Drosophila melanogaster: one gene and its partner. The protein of the gene in region 2 purifies or fractionates together with the protein of the main gene of each other region. This does not show direct contact. Each region holds a gene or a part of one and is shown on either strand. Other genes may lie near its edges. The genes, in order: CG15710 and CkIalpha.

The links.
Region 1: the proteins of CkIalpha (region 2) and CG15710 purify together in Drosophila melanogaster (affinity purification with mass spectrometry, with the first as the bait; one large-scale study listed by BioGRID). This does not show direct contact.

The regions. Positions count from the first base shown.
Region 1 is NT_033778.4:16,343,677-16,352,942, reverse strand, and holds CG15710 (uncharacterized protein), read left to right. Parts: upstream 1-4,415; 5' UTR 4,416-4,476; coding exon 4,477-5,274; 3' UTR 5,275-5,329; downstream 5,330-9,266. Other genes in the region: wcd (wicked), read left to right, coding at 5,548-7,068; Nup62 (nucleoporin 62kD), read right to left, coding at 7,178-8,362.
Region 2 is NC_004354.4:12,648,968-12,658,419, reverse strand, and holds CkIalpha (casein kinase ialpha), read right to left. Parts: upstream 4,621-9,452; 5' UTR 4,252-4,620; intron 4,022-4,251; exon of another isoform or gene 3,888-4,021; intron 3,721-3,887; exon of another isoform or gene 3,451-3,720; intron 3,250-3,450; 5' UTR 3,183-3,249; coding exon 3,104-3,182; intron 3,043-3,103; coding exon 2,268-3,042; intron 2,087-2,267; coding exon 1,927-2,086; 3' UTR 586-1,926; downstream 1-585. Other genes in the region: tomosyn, read right to left, coding at 5,217-5,473, 5,557-5,681, 5,756-5,851, 5,919-6,005, 6,071-6,179, 6,296-6,745, 6,822-6,941, 7,003-7,125 and 1 more. UniProt on the Drosophila melanogaster protein: Casein kinases are operationally defined by their preferential utilization of acidic proteins such as caseins as substrates. Can phosphorylate a large number of proteins. Negative regulator of wg signaling.

The DNA of each region.
Region 1 (9,266 bases), on a different chromosome or scaffold from region 2:
TTACAAAGTTGGCCTAAAATGAATAATTAATTTTCAGTGGTATATACATAACCCTTTGATATCTCTTAGGATTTTGAAGCACTCCATAACATCAGACAATATCAATCCGATTGAAAGTTAATTGCTCACCTCGCTGATCCCCTCGATTGGTTTTTCCTTCTCTTTTTTTCTGTTCTATGTGCAACGGGTGTAATCACATTTTATGTTGAACGCACTTAATTTTTTGCTCCAACTAAATGCCAATTAAAATGCGTAATTATTTTTTAATGGCATTTTGTGGTCAATATCGGACGATTGACGATGATTGCACAGCGGTGGATCTGCGGAGTTGTGGAACTCCACTCCGATGACGGGATGCCGTCGTGACAATTCACATTTATGACGAGCAAATGGCCAGTATCCATATCAATTGCATGACTTGTCAAAGCGGCGCCCGCCTAAAAGAAAAGTGCCTCACATGGGATCGCATGTGTGCGTGTGTGTGTTTGTGTGTGTGTGTGTGGTGGGGGTGGGTTAAAATCGCCAGCAATTGCAGTTCAAGCAAGGAATCGCAATAAGGACTCCGATGTCCTGCAGCCATGTTTCCCTGGCAAATGAAATTCGAGCAATCATCGCCATCAACATTTCGCTTTACTTCAAAAGGGACACGGCGGCAACATGCCGCAAGTGACAATCATTTATATTTAATAAACAACTAACGCATGCAGGACACACAGCAGCGGCCAAGTAAATAGCACTCAAGGCGTGAATGTGGTTTTCCTGGTTTTTAGTCCTTGAACAAGTTCAAATGAAGTTCAATGCTTTATATATAAAAATTGAATAAATATGGCACATTCATAAATAATACCACTTGAAAAAATTATATTTGTATTTTCAATATATTTCTTTCCCAATATGCTTTGTATTTTTATGAATACTACTTGAAATTACAAAATAAAGGTGGCAATTAGTGAATTGTAAGGCACTTATTATTTTCCTTTGTTTTTGAGCTAAATAAATTCCAATTCCAATTGCTTGCCAGTTGCTGTAAGACCTACGATTGGTGGGGGCGGGAAAGTGGGGAAAAGCCGTTCGGAAAAACAACAGCAAGATGACGAGACTAAGCGGCCATTGTCTCCGCCCCCCTTCGAACCCCGCCCCCTTTGCAATGGAAATTGTTTACCATGCATTTTGTTCGATTCCGAGTCGAGGCGTCTGAATAATGCAGCAGGTAGTATACGCTGATGGAAAAGCGGAAAAGCGGGCGTGGAAAATGGGGGGGCGGTCAAGTAAATAAGCGAGCATGAAAGCGAAGACGAAAACAAAATGGGGCAGATAAAAACAACAACAACAACAACAACGCCAAAAGGACAACAATGCTGCAGACACAAAACCGCTTCGAATCGCTTTGGGCGGCATTCAAATTGAATATTGAAAGCATCGAGCACAAAACTGCCAAACGCTTGAATTATGCATTAATGATGTCTGCCACACTGGACAATATAGTGAAGGGGTGGCGGGGGAGTAAAGGGGGCAAGGATTGAGGGGCGTTTGCAGGATACAAGGGGTTTTTTTTTTTTGAAGCCAGGGACAAGAACAACGGCAATGCGTCGTCCTCGTCGACTGACCATCGCTTATTAATTTTTTATGCGTCTGCTATTTTTATGGTCGACATGAAAGCGTTGGCCACAAGCCTTTTATTTTCCTGACCATTTTCGGCTAGCTTTCAATAGTTTTTCACCGAAATTTCCATTTCAACCAGACGCGAGTTTGCGTTGAAAAAGTTACTAAAACTTATCCTACATAGGAGATTTTATTAGAAGAGATACTACCTTTTAAAGTCAAACGCTTAGAATAATTTATAAGGCTGATTATTTATTCCTGGCTTTTTAAAATAATTTAAAGATAAAGATTTCCAGCTTCATTGATATAGAAATGTCAAAAAAGTTCTATAGCACACGACAGTCATACATTTATTTAACCAATTAAAGCGATTCGAAATGGCATGGTGTTTAAGTGCTATTGCCATGTCGCGCACTGTCAATACAATGTCAATATGCATTGTTCGCTAATGTATCGCCAACAAAGTTTTACGCTTTTTGTCGCCAGATTTTCCCTTTGGCTTAATTCCGTTTGAACGACGAACGTTGCGTTGGACAGGATTTTGTCCTGCAAATAAAACGCGCCCTTGACAATGGCCGTCAATATGCCGATATCGGTGGACAGAAAGACGTTAATTACCAACATTACCGCGCGCCCAATTATCAACCGCACAAATCAGCGGTGATGTAGGTACGGGTAACCTGATGCACCGTGTGCGGGGCAATGGAAAACTCATTACATGCCACAGGAGCCATCATCCGTGATTCGAAAGATAGCACATAGGTGGAGCGATGGAGCACAGGGGCAGGTGGCCAGGCGCCACGCCCACAAGGAGCGACCGCAACATGCTGTAATGCGTGGCTCTATCAGCATTTGCATGTGCAGCTGGAGCTGGAGCTAAATGCGCCCGATACTTAAAGCCAACTAAAGGCCATATGTTAGCCTACACTGCCAAAGGACAAACTTAATGTCAACACGCTAATCTGTCAGTCGGCAGGAGTTGCAGCGCAGGATGCGAGATGCAGGGCGCGGAATGGGGGATACTGGCATGGCGGGGAGTTGGGAGTGCGACTGCAAAGGATCTGCCACAATGTCAGGCCACTTAAGGAGCGCTGAATCGCAGCGCCTCGCTGCACAGGAACTCAAGGATATTGGAAGTGGGCGGAAAATGGGCGGGGAACACTCCCAGAAAATGCAGCGATTCTTAGACAAACTTCAATCCTTGGAACTTGATTAGCTATTATTACTTAAGGCAAACGATTAAAAAAGCTTCTGCGTAAAGGATTAGTAGAAAGATATAAAAGAATCCCATATTCTGTTAATCTGAAATCAACAGATTCTGAAATGAAAAATATTCATATTTCAGATAGCTTACTTCAAAATAACTAAAAAGAATAGCCTAAATGGTTTAAAAAGCATATAATACATTCAAGAATAGTGTATGCTTTTTAAATAATTCACAATCTTTTGAGGAAATACCAACAACCCAACTTCGCGCTGCTTAAAATTAATGATAAGTATGTTTAATATTTATAGAAAATTATTTGCTAGTGTATCGCCGCCTGGATGGCGCAACAATAATGCTGGACCCTTTGAAATGACAAAAATTGGTTGCTCTCCGTGCGGCTTGACGCCTGACTTGGCAGGAGACACTCGAGGGCACCACAAATGCCAAGCCGTCACCCACCCAGGCACCCAACTAAACACCCACTGCTCCTACAAGCAACGTCCTCCCCCCGCGAAGGACGCGTCTTATCAACTATGCAGGGCTTTGTCTCTAAGCGATTGCAGGCGCCACCCCCCCTTTCCCTTCCAACCTGCCCCTGCCCCCTTTTGCTCCACGCAGTCAGCGTCTTTTGTTGCGCTTAATGAATTTTACGTAAATTTTACGAGCGCTGATTTCTGGCAGCAGCAGCACCACCCCAGCTATTAATCCACACTTTGGCGAGAGCACCACCCCCAGTGGATGGGTAAATTAGTGGGTGGTTGGGTGGTTAGTGGGTGGATGAGACTGGTGCTCTCCTGGTTGTGCGTGTGTAATGACAAGTTCAACAACAACTCGACATTGTCGACTGGTGACGAGGACGACGTGCTCCGACATTTGTTTGCCCAAGTTATGCAAATATTTTTCCAGTCAAGAAGTTTTTGTTTAATTGCATATTTTGACTCGCATTACGCGTGTCATAAAGCAGGGATCCGGAGCTTACCACAATGCCAGAAGTTGGGCGGGGATTAGAGGCACTCGAAAGACATGTTCCTGCATTTTACAGTTCAAAGACCAAACTAAACAATCAGTTTTACGAGTATAGATCTTATTCTGCCCAGGCTTGCCATTGAACTATAGCTATCTTCCTTAGAAATTAATTTAAATTAAATTTATATTTAAGTCTCTAAGATGATATTTTAAAAATAATTCCTAACACAGACGAAATCATGGAGAAGCCTTTAATATGGTTCATAAAACATAATTTATTTGCTGCGTTCGAAACTGTGAAGCTGACCTACTTCATTTAAAAACGAAATTAAACCGAATATATATAGTATGTATACTTCTGCTTTAGACAGTAAAAATGCATGAAGATTGTTTGCTTAATTGGTTAAACTAAATGATGGCTAAATATATTACCACCTCATTTATGGTAATCCGAATAAAACGTTTAATTTTTTTTTGGAGGAAAGCGTTGGATTCGAATTTCATTGCCTGGACAAATTTAAAAAGTTTACATTTTTGAGGCATACCTATCGCGTATACGCTTTCTTTCTTTTCCAGCCCTGACAGTTTCCGAGTATCGAGTATCGAGTATTACTTTCTATCTTTCAATGACAATGACCGGCGACTTTCTCACTTTCTTCGTACGCTTCTTACTGGCGAAACACAAGAGCCCACAAAGGATTATGACAAGTGCTGGCAACTGGATTTCCGAGGAGCTGGAACCAGCTACTCTACTGTCGATTCAGGAGGATAATGGTATTGTTACCAAGGTGTACGTGGCGCCCTGTTTGCAGCCGATAAAAGAGGAGAAAGTTTTCCTGGAGGACAACACGCAACGCTTCCACTGTCCGCTTTGCTCTAATGTGATTCGCACGGCCGGTGCCTACAAGGTCCATCTGATGGCCTGCCAAAGACGCTTGGCACGCATGATGAAGGATGTGCCGGACGTGTCCCAGCATCAGTGCAACATTTGCAAGAAAATCTTCTCCTCGGTGGATGCCCTGATCGGCCACAGGCTCCTGCATGGAAGCCCATCAATGAATCGCACCTGTGCATCCTGCCATGTCAAGTTCGGGACGGATCTGGAGTATCGCACCCATTTGGAGAGCCATCTGATACCGTGCGAGTCCACGGATGAATCCTACGAAGGGGCGTACACCATCACCAAGACCTTCAATTGCGTCTTTTGTCGCACGGAGTTCAAGGCCTGCTTTAAGCCTGGCCAAGTGACCCGTCGATACGCGTGCGACGCATGTATCGTAAGGCTGAAGGCCCAGGAGGAGGAGAAAAAGATCTTAGGGAAGAGAAGGCCCGAATTAATCTGTGATCGTTGTGGGAAAAAGTACAAATATGAGGGTTTCCTTCACCGTCATCTGAAAACTTGCCAGATGCCGGATAAATGCAAAAGAAAGCGTGAGATTGAAATCACCGAGGTCAGCGAGGTAACATTTACAGAAGTTGTGCAAAGTTTTAATAATTGATTATACAAATTCGCACATTTTAATTTTAAATTAAATAAATATATTTTTTAATTGTAATATTTTTTATAATTTTCAAATTATGGCGCCCATCCCACCGATATCTATTTCGATCTGCTATCGATGTGGTCACACTTATCGATAAATCCACCGTGGCGTGGTATTTTTGATTTAAAGCGTTAGTCGATTTCCCGCCCAGCTGCACGTGTATATTTTTTTGCGGTCCAAAGAAAAGTTCGTAAATAAACGAATTTGCGTGCATTTCCAGCGAACACGATGAGTTCAGACGAGTCCAGCGACGGTTTGGAGGAGCTGCAGAGTCTGAAGGCCCTCTACGGCCAGCAGGAGCAAGAGAAACCGGCAAAGATCAAAAGGGAACGTTATATTCCAAAGGCCTCGCAGGCCAAGGAGCTCAACTATGTGGAGGTGCCCATGGAAAAGGTGCTCTTCGGCGACAGGCAGCGACTGCTCACCAATCTAGCCAAGTCCGTGGGACAAAAGTTGCCGAACGATGACGAAGACGAGCAGGAGGAAAATCCCGGCCAGGCAAAGCCAGGCGACAAGCGGAAAGCCGCCTGGTCGGATTCCGATGACGAGGACCTGCAGGTGGGCGATGTCAAGAAGGCCACAAAGCACACGGGTCCACTGAACCACCTGCGCAAGGATAAATCGTACAAGGAGTATCTTACGGCGCGATTCCAGCGCACGCTTAACCAACCCAAGTGGGCGGAAAAGAAGGTCAAAAATGAGGACGACGAGGACGTATCCTCCGACGAAGAACTGCTGCGGACGGTTGGCTTTATCGATCGTAAAGCCCGGAACAGTGATCTGCCCCAGAAGACTCTGAATTTTAAACGGGTCAAAGACCTGAACAGGGCCACATATGCCGAGGGTAATGCCACCAGCATTCAGTTTCATCCAACCAGTACTGCTGCTCTAGTGGCGGGCATGAATGGCCTAGCCACCATCTACGCCGTGGATGGGCAAAAGAACGAAAGGTTGCACAACATGCGCTTCAAGAAGTTCCCGCTGGCGTGCTCCAGAATTGCTCCATGCGGCACAAGGGCGTTCTTTGGTTCTGTGAAACCATTCTACTACTCCTACGACTTGCTGGAAGCCAAGGAATCGAAGCTAAAGCTGCCGGGCGCAATGGAATTTATGCACCGCTTTGAGGTGTCTCCATGTGGCAAATTTATCGTCACTGCTGGCAAGTTTGGAGCCATTCACCTGCTCACGGCCAAAACAAATGAGCTGCTGCACAGCTTCAAGCAGGAGGGCAAAGTGAAGGGATTCACATGGTCTAGTGACTCCAAGAGGATCCTCGTCTGCGGTTCCACTTCCAATGTCAGCGTGCTGAACCTGCGCCAGAACCTCATCGAGCACATCTTCATGGACGACGGCTGTATACATGGAGAGTCCATTCAACTGTCTCCCAACCAACGCCTACTGGCCACCGGCAGTCAAGAGGGCGTGGTCAACATCTACGACTACGAGAGCATTTTCGCATCCAAGGCCCCACAACCCGAGAAGCGCTTCATGAACCTACGGACTGCCATCACGGATCTCCAGTTCAATCACTCATCTGAGCTACTGGCGATGTGCTCCAGTGAGGCGCCGAATGCTTTTAAGCTGGCCCATTTCCCCAGCGCCACTGTGTACTCCAATTTCCCGGCACAGAACGAGAAGGTTGGCTTTGTGACCTCCATGGCCTTTTCGCCGCACAGCAGCTTCCTGGCCTTTGCCACTAAGGGCAAACAGGTGCCGCTCTTTAGGCTTAAGTACTTCAAGGGTTATTAATTGAAGGCAGTATGATGTTTACAATAAATTCTTAAATAAAATCATTACTCTTTCTGTGGTTACAATGGAACCATCTTTATTTAAGTTAACAAATTAAGGGGACTTATCTTTAGAAAGGAGCTCGGAAAATATCGCGTTTCTGGGAGTCTTGAATCTTGCCAATGTCTTCCAGCTTCTTGCTGATGTTCGTCGACTGCGATTCGATCCACTGCAACGAATTCATATGGGCATTAAGGATTTTTCCGATCTGTATGATGGGATCAGTGGTGTCCTGGCCCTTGTTGGCCTCGTTCAAGTTGTCTATTATCTCCTTTAGATCCTCGGACATCTGCTTCAGTTGTGTGTCCAGATTCTCCACCATCAGGTAGGTTTGGCTGCGTTCCATGTCCACCCTCGGGAGATTAACGAATTCCTTCTCAAGCGGTCCCAGGCTGTCCTCAAGCTCTTTTTGCTGCGTGGCTATAAACTCCAGCTCCTGGTCCAGCACTTGCTGATCGGTTTTCACTTTTTTCACGGCATCGTTGAGCTCGACGATCTTCCCGTTGTTGCTGATGAGCAGTTTGTCCCATGCGTTGATCTGAGTGGCCTGTTCGGTGAATACCTTTTCCTGTTCCTCGAACTCGAGAGTCCACTTGTTGATATGCTCCTCAAGTTGGTGGTAGGACAATTGGGATGCCGTGGAAACGGCCGATGAGTCTGTGGTCTTGGTTTCGGTAGTGAGATTGGCAAAAGCACCACCAGTACTTAAAGTTGGGGCCGGTGCAGCTCCCTGCGTGGAGGCTATGGCCGACGGAGCTGCAGTCAGAGTTGTGGACGCAGCGGCCGTGGTCTTGGGAGCTCCCAATCCAGACCCGCCCAGCAATCCAGTTGTGGTAGCTGCGGTGTTGGGTGCACTGGTTGCTATAGTTGGCACCACAGATGCCGCTGGTTGAGCCGTAAAGCCTCCGAAGGCGGGAGGAGCAGCAGAGGTTCCAGTCGCGGTCGCAGAAGTGGTGGACGCTGGATTTGCGGCGGCTTGAGTGCCCAGCGTGAGGGGAGCTGAAGCAGTCCCGGATCCCAGGCCAAATCCAAAGGCTGGTGGAGCCTGCGCCTTGCTGTTGTCTGCATCTCCGCCACCGATACCAGCAGTAGGTGCCGGTGTTCCGAAAGAGAATGTGGTTTTTGTGGCGGGAGCCGTGGTTGCTGCTCCTGAAGCTGGTGCTGCGGCTGGTGTTCCTGTGCTGAGGCCGAAGGAAAACGACGATGTTGCGCCTCCGGTCGGGGCGGCGGTTGTTGTTGGCAACTGGAATACCATGCTTAAACTTAAGACGAATAATATAAATCTAAATCAAACGAAACACGCCAAAAGCAACCAGTGTGACCCCTCCTTGGAGTTCCGCAATGTTGTCGGTGTTGGAAATCAACTAAATTTGAGCTCAAGCTAGCTATTTTCAAGCCAAAACACTTAGCAGTTTGAAGATTGGGCGGCAAAATTAAATTTTAAATTTCTTTGAATTGGCAATACAAATGAAGTACTTTGCTCAGTCGACGATACATTTTTGTTACTAAAACATGCTGAAAACCAAAACATTTATATTATTTTAACGTTTGCAATCACTTTTTGCACTTTTAAAATATATTTATGTCTGTGTCCGTTTTTTTAACCAGCGATCAACTAACTTGCGAAATCGACAAACAACACTGGTCGAGAGCTATGTTTTAGCTCCAGTTTTAGTCGTACATGGAACAAATCATTCCGCGCAACTTAAATAAAAAAACCAACTCAGAAAGAAAACGTAGTCAATCGTACAAACAAAATCAATAACAAAACACCGGCTTTAATTAGTCATCTTTTGCTATCTGTAAGTGCAAAGGCGATAAGGTAACATTTGGGTCAAAAGAATTCAATTACAAGCCCAAAGTGCAGCGGCACTCAGTTCAGTAATTGCATTTTGCTAAATCAGCTAAACACATGTGTGCTTCCTATCAGAAGGTTCGTTCTGCGTACCTGTGTAGGTTCTCTTCAGAGCTGCCAGCCACAAAATTAGAAAAATTACCTAAGGTACAAACGTAATGCGGTACAACAATTAGAGCTTGTCTTTGACCTTCGGTTTTTTTTTTTTTTGTAATAAGATTCTTTTTAAGATTTTCATAAGATCTGAGATCTGATCCTCAAAAACAGAAATTTTAAATTATTCTTAAAAACCAGATCAAAATTT
Region 2 (9,452 bases):
ATAAATGTATTTCACAGTCGGGTTGCAAAAGACGTCAGCTGCTAAATTCGTTTTGGATCTTAAGAAAGACCACCTGAAAGTGAAAAAACATTACGAATCGATTTTTGGAGGCATTATGGAAAATACTTTAAAGAAAGATGATTAACGCTGCGCCCCCCTGTACCATCCATTACAGTATCGCAGATAACCATTCCATTAAATATAAACGTAATTTAAAATATTGACAACTTTCTCTACAAAGATTCTACGTTTTTTTTCTCATCTCTTCAGAATATTTTGCTAACTACCAGCTATGCAATCTACTAGATGATATCAATAGTAGCAGTACAAATTTAAATAAACAAACCATAAACCATAAACCATAAACCATAAACCAATGTGACAATGAAATGTTTTTATGTCACGTTCAAGTTTTCATAACTAAAATGCATTATTAATGACTGAACGCAAGATCTGAAAAACACAGGCATTTTTTTGTGATTAATTTAAATATATAAAAGCATCTTTAATTTCAACTAAATTTTAATTTCAGCTGAAACGAATACAACTTTAGATACAAAGCACTTATGGGGGAAATTAAATGTTGGGGCTCAAATAAAACGTATGCATATATATATATATATGAATATACAATTTTTATGTAAATTTAATATAGTATAATAAAAAAACTAATTACATGCTACAATTTTAAAAAAGATTATTAACCAATAGAGCTAATCGCTAATAAACAATGACGTATATTACAACAATAAATATATTTGAATGCACTTCTTTCCCTTTCGTATGCCCCCATCTCTATCTAATGCAGATGTGAACAGCGCCGAGTCGAAATTTAATTTCAACATATTTATTGATGTAATTCAAAAAATTAAATATAAGTTATATTTATAATTATTACGGCGTACTATGCAAAATTACTTTGCAGTTTTGCGGTCTGTTTTCTTCTTTTTCTTTCTTCATTATAATTATTATTTGCTTGTTTTACTCTTGTTGCTGCTTTTATTTTATATTTTCCCCCATCTCAGTTGGCTTTGCTTGGTTGTTTCTCCTCCGCATCCTCCACTATATTTTTTTTGTTTGCTTTTCTCGGTGTGTTTTATTAATTTTTTTTTATTGTTTATTCTTATTTGTTTGTTGTTTTTTTGTGTTGTTGTTTGCTTGTTGCTGTTTTGTTTCTTATTTATTCCATTTTAATTAGTTATTGAGTTTTGTTTCGCTCGATTCATAATTAAGCATTGGATTCGATTTGACGTGAATCAAATGGGTATATGCATACATATATGGTGTTGTGTTTATTCGCTTACATATATACATATACATATATATATAGGTTTAGTTTCCTCAGCATTACTTCATTTTGTTCCTCCAACTCTACCAATATTATTTCTTGTAATTTATTAGGCTAAGTGTTGTTGATTTCTTTCCTCTTCTTTTCTTCTTCTCTCTTCTTTTCTTTTTTCTCCCCCTTTTGGGCAATGATGTTTGCTTTTTGAGTGGGTGGATGAGAGTGGGTGAGTGTGTGTATGTATGTGTGTGTGTGGGTGTGTTATGCAAGTATGTTGATTTGTGTATGGATTGCAAATTAGTTTAAATCGTATTGATTTGCAATAATTTCGGTTTATGTTATTATCGATCGCAGTGATTCACTCGTGAATCACATTTGCTGGGGTATCATTTTATATGCCCTGCTGATGATGCCGTTGCTTGCTTGTTTGTGGTTCCTTATTTGTTTAGTATTGAATTTAAATTAATATTAAGAAACATTCGGACGACCGCTGGTGTTACTCAATTTTACGGTTGCGTCTGTTTCATATTTGCTCCGCTCCTTGCCGGGCCTTTCGCCCACATCAACGTCATTTACATCCACGCATCCACGTTCTCCTTCTCTGATGCACTCCCCCCATTCGTCTGAATGCGCTGCAGCTCTTAGTCCGCGATCAGGGGCTTGCCGTTCTGCTTCTCCTTGTCCTTGTCCAATTGCTCCAAGAGTATAGCTGGATTGGGTTGACCCTGATGGGTCTTCTGCTTCAGCATTGTCCAGTCGTAGATGTAGTCATACTGATGGTTCAGCGTTCTGAACAGTATGCTGTATTAAAGAGAAAGTTGGGGTTACATCATTTCGAATTAAAAAAAAAAAACAAGAAAACTATGACCTAAACACATATCGAATACAGCCTCCACAATGATTATCACCACAAACATTATCACAAAAACAATCGGGTGTAATCTTAAGATTCGTATGCAATATATGATTTAATCGTACTCACCGGAACAATTGACGTAGGTACATGTAATCTGGCTGCTCCTCGAAGCGCAGGCTACGACAATAGTTCAGATACATGGAGAACTCGGCCGGCGAGCCCTTGCAGAGGACCTCGATGGGCGTGGACATCTTCTTTTCGGAGATCTTCTCGTATTTCTGCTGCTTGGTGTTGGCCTTCATGCCTTGCCATGGCAGTACGCCGCGATTGAAGTACATCATCACGTATCCAAGCGATTCCATGTCGTCACGCCGCGACTGCTCGATGCCCAGATGGGCATTGATCGAGGCATAGCGGGCAGTGCCGGTGAGGTTCTTGTCCTCGCGGTAAACGATGTGATGGCGCGTGTGCGGATCGCGGAACTTCTTGGCCAGACCGAAATCGATCAGGAACAGCTTATTGCAGTGCCGACCAATGCCCATTAGGAAGTTATCCGGCTTGATGTCGCGATGGATGAAGCACTTGAGATGGATGTACTCCAAGCGTCCGATCATCTGGTCGACGAGCATCAGAACCGTTTTGATTGTGAAATGGCGCGTACAGAAATTGAACAGATCCTCCAGCGAGGGTCCCAGCAGGTCCATGACCAGGGTGTTGAAGTTCTTTTCCTTGCCATGGTGACGTATACGAGGGAATCCAACGCCGCCGCTCAGAATGCGGTACAGCTTGGCCTCGTACAACAGCTGCGGATGGCGGGCGTGGGCGCTCTCCATCTTGATGGCCACTTCTTCGCCGCTCTGGATGCTCATGCCCAGGTAAATGTCGCCAAACGATCCGCTTCCTGTGAATAATTTTCAGAGATTAGAGAATATTGTGGGGATAAAATCGCACGGCTGAATTACCAATCTTCCTGATCACCCGATATTTGCCACCGACGATTATCTCGGGGCGACTTTCCTTCAATATCCGCATCTTGTCCATCCTGGCTAGCTGCTCCTCCGCCTAAGCGCTTCGCTTCAAAAACAGTTGGACGCGTTCACTTGAAAAACTGCATGGGTTGGGAACATTATATGTTTTGTATATATTAAGTTAAGAACTAAACGCTAGGAGTTACTAATTATCATTCTGACACTTGAACACCCTTCATCTAAACAACTATATTACTCTAATACTACAAAGGGACCTATTACAAAACGAACAGTTTTGCGGATCCCAGAAAATGTAATCGTGTACTGTTTTATATTTTAACCTTAAGAAAAATGAGTGGTATCTTCTCTAGAGTTGTTTCACAGTGTTTTTGGGAAAGTTTTGAATAGTTGCCCCAACACAAAATGTCGCGACGATTTACAGACCAGCTGACATTTAACTAATATCACCAGAGCCTCTTTTTGCTGTCATCCCTTTCTCAACACTTTCTTTTCCACCTCTCTTTCTGCTCTCCGGAATTTGTTTTGCTTTTCTTTTCCAGCTTGCACTTTACGTGTTTTTCTGATGTTTCTCAACGGACCAATCGATATGTCTGCATTATCGATTACACTTGATCCCTACTTGAGGTGATGGAGGTGAAGGAGGAGCAATATTTCCTTTTGCACGGGGGCGGGCTGAAGGGAAATTCTAAATAAACACAGACAGACATCGATATACGATATTTATTGGCGACAGGTACTGCTTCCTCTTCTTTCTTACCCCGTTGGAATGCATATTACACACACACACACACTCATTGCTATGACGCACAACAACAAAAACAACAACGGCAGTCAAAGCGATACACACACACGCACACAGCTGCAGTTGCACCTTACAAATGTTTTACACAAAAGAAAATTTCGAAGGCACACATATACACACACACACGAACGCAGAGTGTGAGAAGCAGACCAACACATTGAAGCGCACAGCGAGACACGCACACCATCGAAGACCCATCACACACACACACACGTTAGCATATTTAGCACGCATTTGAAACTGGACGAAATGGGTGAAAAAATGATGGATCCTCGCGGAAATCAAACGGTCTAAGTTCACATTTGGGTTCATTTCTTACCAGCAGACGATAAATTCAACTAATTATTGCCCTGCTGGTTGTTTTTTCTCAAGGTTGGGGCTCTCTTTTACAAATATATTCGCTGCTTTTGCTCTGCTGCTTCTGCTGCTGGTGGAGAAAAAAAAACGGAACGGGGAAAATTTCGTCGCAGATCCGTTTTCGTTTTCTTTCGTCGTTATCGTTGTTTTCCCATTCAGTTTATGAAATATTGCACGAGTTCGCAGCTAGTTTTGTACGCGCACAAACGGAACAAAAAGAGAGGAAATATATGTATTTTATTAACTAAAATAAAATGGTAGATCCAGCAAAAATGCTTTTGCTTATATCGATAGGGCCCGATAGGTTCAACCAAACACTGCCACCTGATATCGTGGAACGATACGCTCAGATAGGTATGAACGAGAAACGATACTTCACCGTGGCACACTGCTAAACTATCGGATTGAAATTGACTTCGCGACTCTGCGGCGATTTTCAGCACTGACACAACACTGCGCGGATAATTCAAATGGGGAACAGAAAACACTTTTCACTCGTGTGCTGCTGTTATGTTCGAATCTGATACTAAAGTCTACTCAGAGTTGATGTTACTATAAAGAACGATTGAAAGCAGCACCCACTTTGTTCGAGCGTATAAAACATGTGAAACAAAGAAATCAAATTAAAAATACTTTAATAACCCACAATATTCATGAATACATTAAGACTCCACAGTGCCTGTTTTTTGGTCTATATATTTTTATTAAAAACAGTTTTTTTTTGGTTGGGTTTTCTCTTTCAGTTTTTTTGTTTTTGTGAATTTTCGGTTTTTGTTGTTTTTTTTTGTTGGTTTTCGGTTTTTGTAAATAACGTGACGACTTGAAAACAGAAATTAAATAAGTGTACTTTACTCGTAATGTAGTAGAAAGTGTTATAAAAGCAATATTACAATAACTGTGGTAGAATTGGCTCCTAAAATAGATATTTTACAACTGATACCACTTCTTGTCTTTATATTTAAGCATTAATTGATGCGCAGTGCCGCTGAAATCTTGAGCAGTGTTGGCCATGCGCTCGGCGCGCTCCTCCAGCAAATTTAGCTTCTCGCCGCGCTCCATGGCCAGCTGGTGCGCCCGGCTGATCTCCGATGCGGCGGTGGAAGCCCTCTGGCCGAGCTGCTCCAAATTGGGGCCGGGTATGTGCCGTGCCACCGATCGATTCGGTTTCCCGCTCTGCTCGCCAACTGCAAGGATAGGGATAGGAATTGTACGGATTATTGAAATGATCGATGGTAACGACATGCAGATCTGATGCAGATCTACTCACATAGCTCCTCGCGATCCAGGAGTTTGGCGCCACCACCAAATAGACCCTTGAAGAAACCCTCCTTCGGCTGTTCGGGCATTTCGTGTACCGTATATAGTTCACCCATCATCTCCAAAATAAATTGACTTGAATAAGGGAAAGAATTACAAATTAATATGCAATGTTTAAAGTACAATGAATTATGTTTGTTTTGGTTTACCAAAATTCCGATGATATCGTGAATTTTTGAATTTCGGTGGGCGATGCCATGTACAATCCATGACCTTTATGACTAAAGCAAAATATTTTTGATATTCTGTGGATAATGGAACAAGATTAGTAAAAGTTGGAAATAAAAATATATATTTTAGCTTAGGACTTACTGAGTTGTATCTTCATGAACAATGATCTGTTGACCCCATATCGAAAGCATTGGATCCACAATTCCCTGTTTACATTTTGTTTGAAAACTAAATAGACGATAGAACCATTAGTTGTAAAAATGCTAAGAGTACCTTATAAGTGTACGGCTCACCTTAGTTCCATAAGTGGTAAGAAATCAGTATCCAATAACAGTTTTAGACTAGGAAGACTATGTACCATTAGATGGCCATTCGAAAGATAGGTTGCTAAGCAAGAGCCATCTGGAATGAAGGGAACGTTGATATATGTATTAATTACAATCAATTGCACTAATTACAACAAATTATGACTTTCTTGCTCCACTAATAAAATGAAAATAAAACAAAGTGAAAGTCACCTTTCATCGTGATAGTTTCTGCCTTGACTGCAAAATCCATTTCCGATAATTGTATGCGGTTGATGCAGCACTGGTTGGCGACATCGAAGACTTTTGTTTGCTTCTCGCTTGCGATAACGATGTATTGTCGATCGGTGAGAGTTTCCAGGCCGGTGCTCACACTTCCGCTGATGCCGCTGCTGCTGGCGCTGCTGCTGCTCATCCCCCCGCCGCTGGTTACACCGCTTCCAACGCCGCCGGCCGCTCCAGCCGCCGATCCTGCTCCGGCACCACCGCCGGCTGGCCCTCCTGCGGCTGCGCCACCGCTGGCCGCACCACCGCCGGCACCACCACCGCCGCCAGCTCCTCCGCCTGCGGACGCACCACCCGCGACCGAAGTGTTTGATAATGTATTGGCAGTTGTCGGTGTGAATGTGGGACTGGTGCGGCTGCTGCTCTTTGTTGGTGTGCCTTGAAATCATATTGGATATATATGTGGATTAGTCGGGGGCATCAGATCAATGTGGTATGAAGTCGAGATGCTTACGATCTTTGTTGTCCCTCTTCTCGTCACGCCAGGTCTCAAACGTATAGGGTATGATCGAACCGTATGAGTCTAAAAAAGACATGGAAGTTATGGATCCTTTGAGTCGTACCACGGGGCCACCTGAAAAAAGGAGAAGATATTTAAAAAGGTTTTCATTTATGTGCGTGGCTTTATCACTTACCATTTATTGTTATCAATACTGGCTGAGATTTGCGCACATCTCGCTCGGGCATGGTGATGAACAATGTCAGTATCGAACCGAAACTAGTTCCAATCCACAAAGTAGGAACAAGTGTCAAAATATCTAAGTAAAAACAATGTTAAATATATGTATAGATGTTAAGATATAATCTAATCACCGATCAGTCTTACCATTTCGTTTTGCATAACTCTCGATAAAAGCTAAACAGGTAACAGATTCAGAGGAAGACATATCAATGCTGGACATTGACGATGATCTGGATCTTGAGAAAGTTCCATCCAATTTATCTGTAATTTATTCGGGTTTGGTTTTGGGAATCAGAAAGTGATTTTGGTTTTTTGTTTTTGATGGATTGTATGCCATAGATAGAAGAAAGAGATAAATAAACGAGTTACATTAAAATCGTTACATACGTTCATAAATATTGTGAAAAGAAACAGGCGGATACAGAAATAGAGAGAGATAGAGTGATAAAGAGAGATAGAGATAGATAGATAGATAGAGAGAGAGAGAGGAGTAAAAGCGGCGGGCGGTAGTAGGCAAAACTATTGCTTAGATATTTAATCGAATTTTCTTTATTATCTAATTGCAATTGCGATTTTGCGCTAAGTTTTTTTATGCTTTTTTTTTTGAGCTGCACAACACTAAAGTACCGCTAGGCTGCCTAATGGTTGTTAATTGATCTGTGTGCTTTCCATGTGAATGTGTTTGTTAATGTGGTTTTCAGTCGCTCGCAGAATTTAAGTGTTTCAAATATTAAATAATAAAAAGGTTACGTTTTCAGTTTACATTTAAAACTTTTTGAGCCATTCTTCAGCGATTAAGGAATGTTCGTTTTAAAGAATGGAAGACATTATATCTGTAACTGCGAGCGACTGTTATTTTGTAATATTTATTGTTTTTGTACTATTTTCCGAGTAAGTTTTCCACGGAGTTTTCTAACTTTCTGGCTGTGAGTGCAATTTTGAAAGCAGCAGGCGCGTTGACTAGGTAAAAGAAAAAAAAAATCTCAAAAAAAAAGTACGAGTGAAAGTTGCTTGCATGTGTGCTTAGCTAGGCGTTATTGTATGGATGTGTGTGTGGGTGTGTTAGTGTGCATGTGTGTGAGGACTATGCGTAAGTTAAATATTTTTTTTTTGCCAATACAAAATCAGATCTTGTTGTACTCTTTTCCAAATGTATCTTTATAGAAATCCGGTAAGTCTTATTCTTCGTTTAGTTATTCGGTTTCAAATGCAAGAACAAATACCGAGAGAGAATATAGAGAGAGAAAGTGTCACAGAGCGAAAGAGACAGACATAGTTGGAGACAGTAGCAAGAGGTAAAGGATAAAGTGAGATAGTAAGAGTAAGGAAAAAAGAGACAGCGAGCAGAGAGCGAACGAGCGAGCGAGACAGATCGAGAGAACATATTCATATGCACTGTTATAACTAGATTGTTTTCTAGGGCTAGAGAAAGACAGAGAGAGAGAGAGAGAGAGAGAAATAGAGAGCGAGCGAGCGAGCGAGCGAACGAGCGAGAAAAAGAGACAGACAGCTCCAGCCATCGCCCCCCCTCACAAAAACCCCATGAAACAAATGTATATATATATATATACTGAAACATAAATATAATCAAAACGGAATATACCAATAATTTTCCAAAAATTTCAAATTTAACACGCACACACACATACACACCAAAATACGCAGACAGACACGCACATATACAGAGAAAGGGGGCGGGGCCACAAGCAACGTGCATCGTCTGCTGTCCATATTCATGTGTGCGTGTGTGCGTGCGTGTGCGTTTGCTTGGTTGTGTGCGTATGCGGTGTGACCGTGTGTGTGCGCGAAAAAGAAAGAGACAGACAGAGACACAGTCGAACTTCTAAACTGCCATTGCATTGCAGACTATTGCCCGCATATACGCATATATATGCTACTCTGTCAAAAACACTCGTTGGTCGCGATAGAGAAGTTCAACTGCACTTAAAGTGTGTGTTCGTGTGTGTGTGCGTGGTATACTGGTAAAAAAAAATATGCGAATTGTTTTTTTTTTTCATGACTAGAGGTGCAATCTGATTATTTGGTTGGTTGCTGTTTAGGTTGTTGTTTTGCTGTTGTTGTTGCTTGTATTGCTTGCTGTTATATTTGGTTGCTATTGTTGTTGTTGTAGTTGTTGTAGTGGTTGCTGTTAGCTGTTGTTTACTGTAGTGCTCTGTTGTGCTCCCACCTTGTGATTTGGACTTTTTTAGGGATTCGTACGATGTCACTGACTGCTGTTGCTGTATAACGGATGTTTGATGCGGATACGGATGCGGATGCGGATACGGATGCGGATGCTGATATTGATGTTGTTGCGCACCTGCACCGCTAGCACCACCACCACCGCTTGCACCACCGCCGCCGCCGCTGCCGCCAGCACCACCACCGCCGCACTCGCCGCCC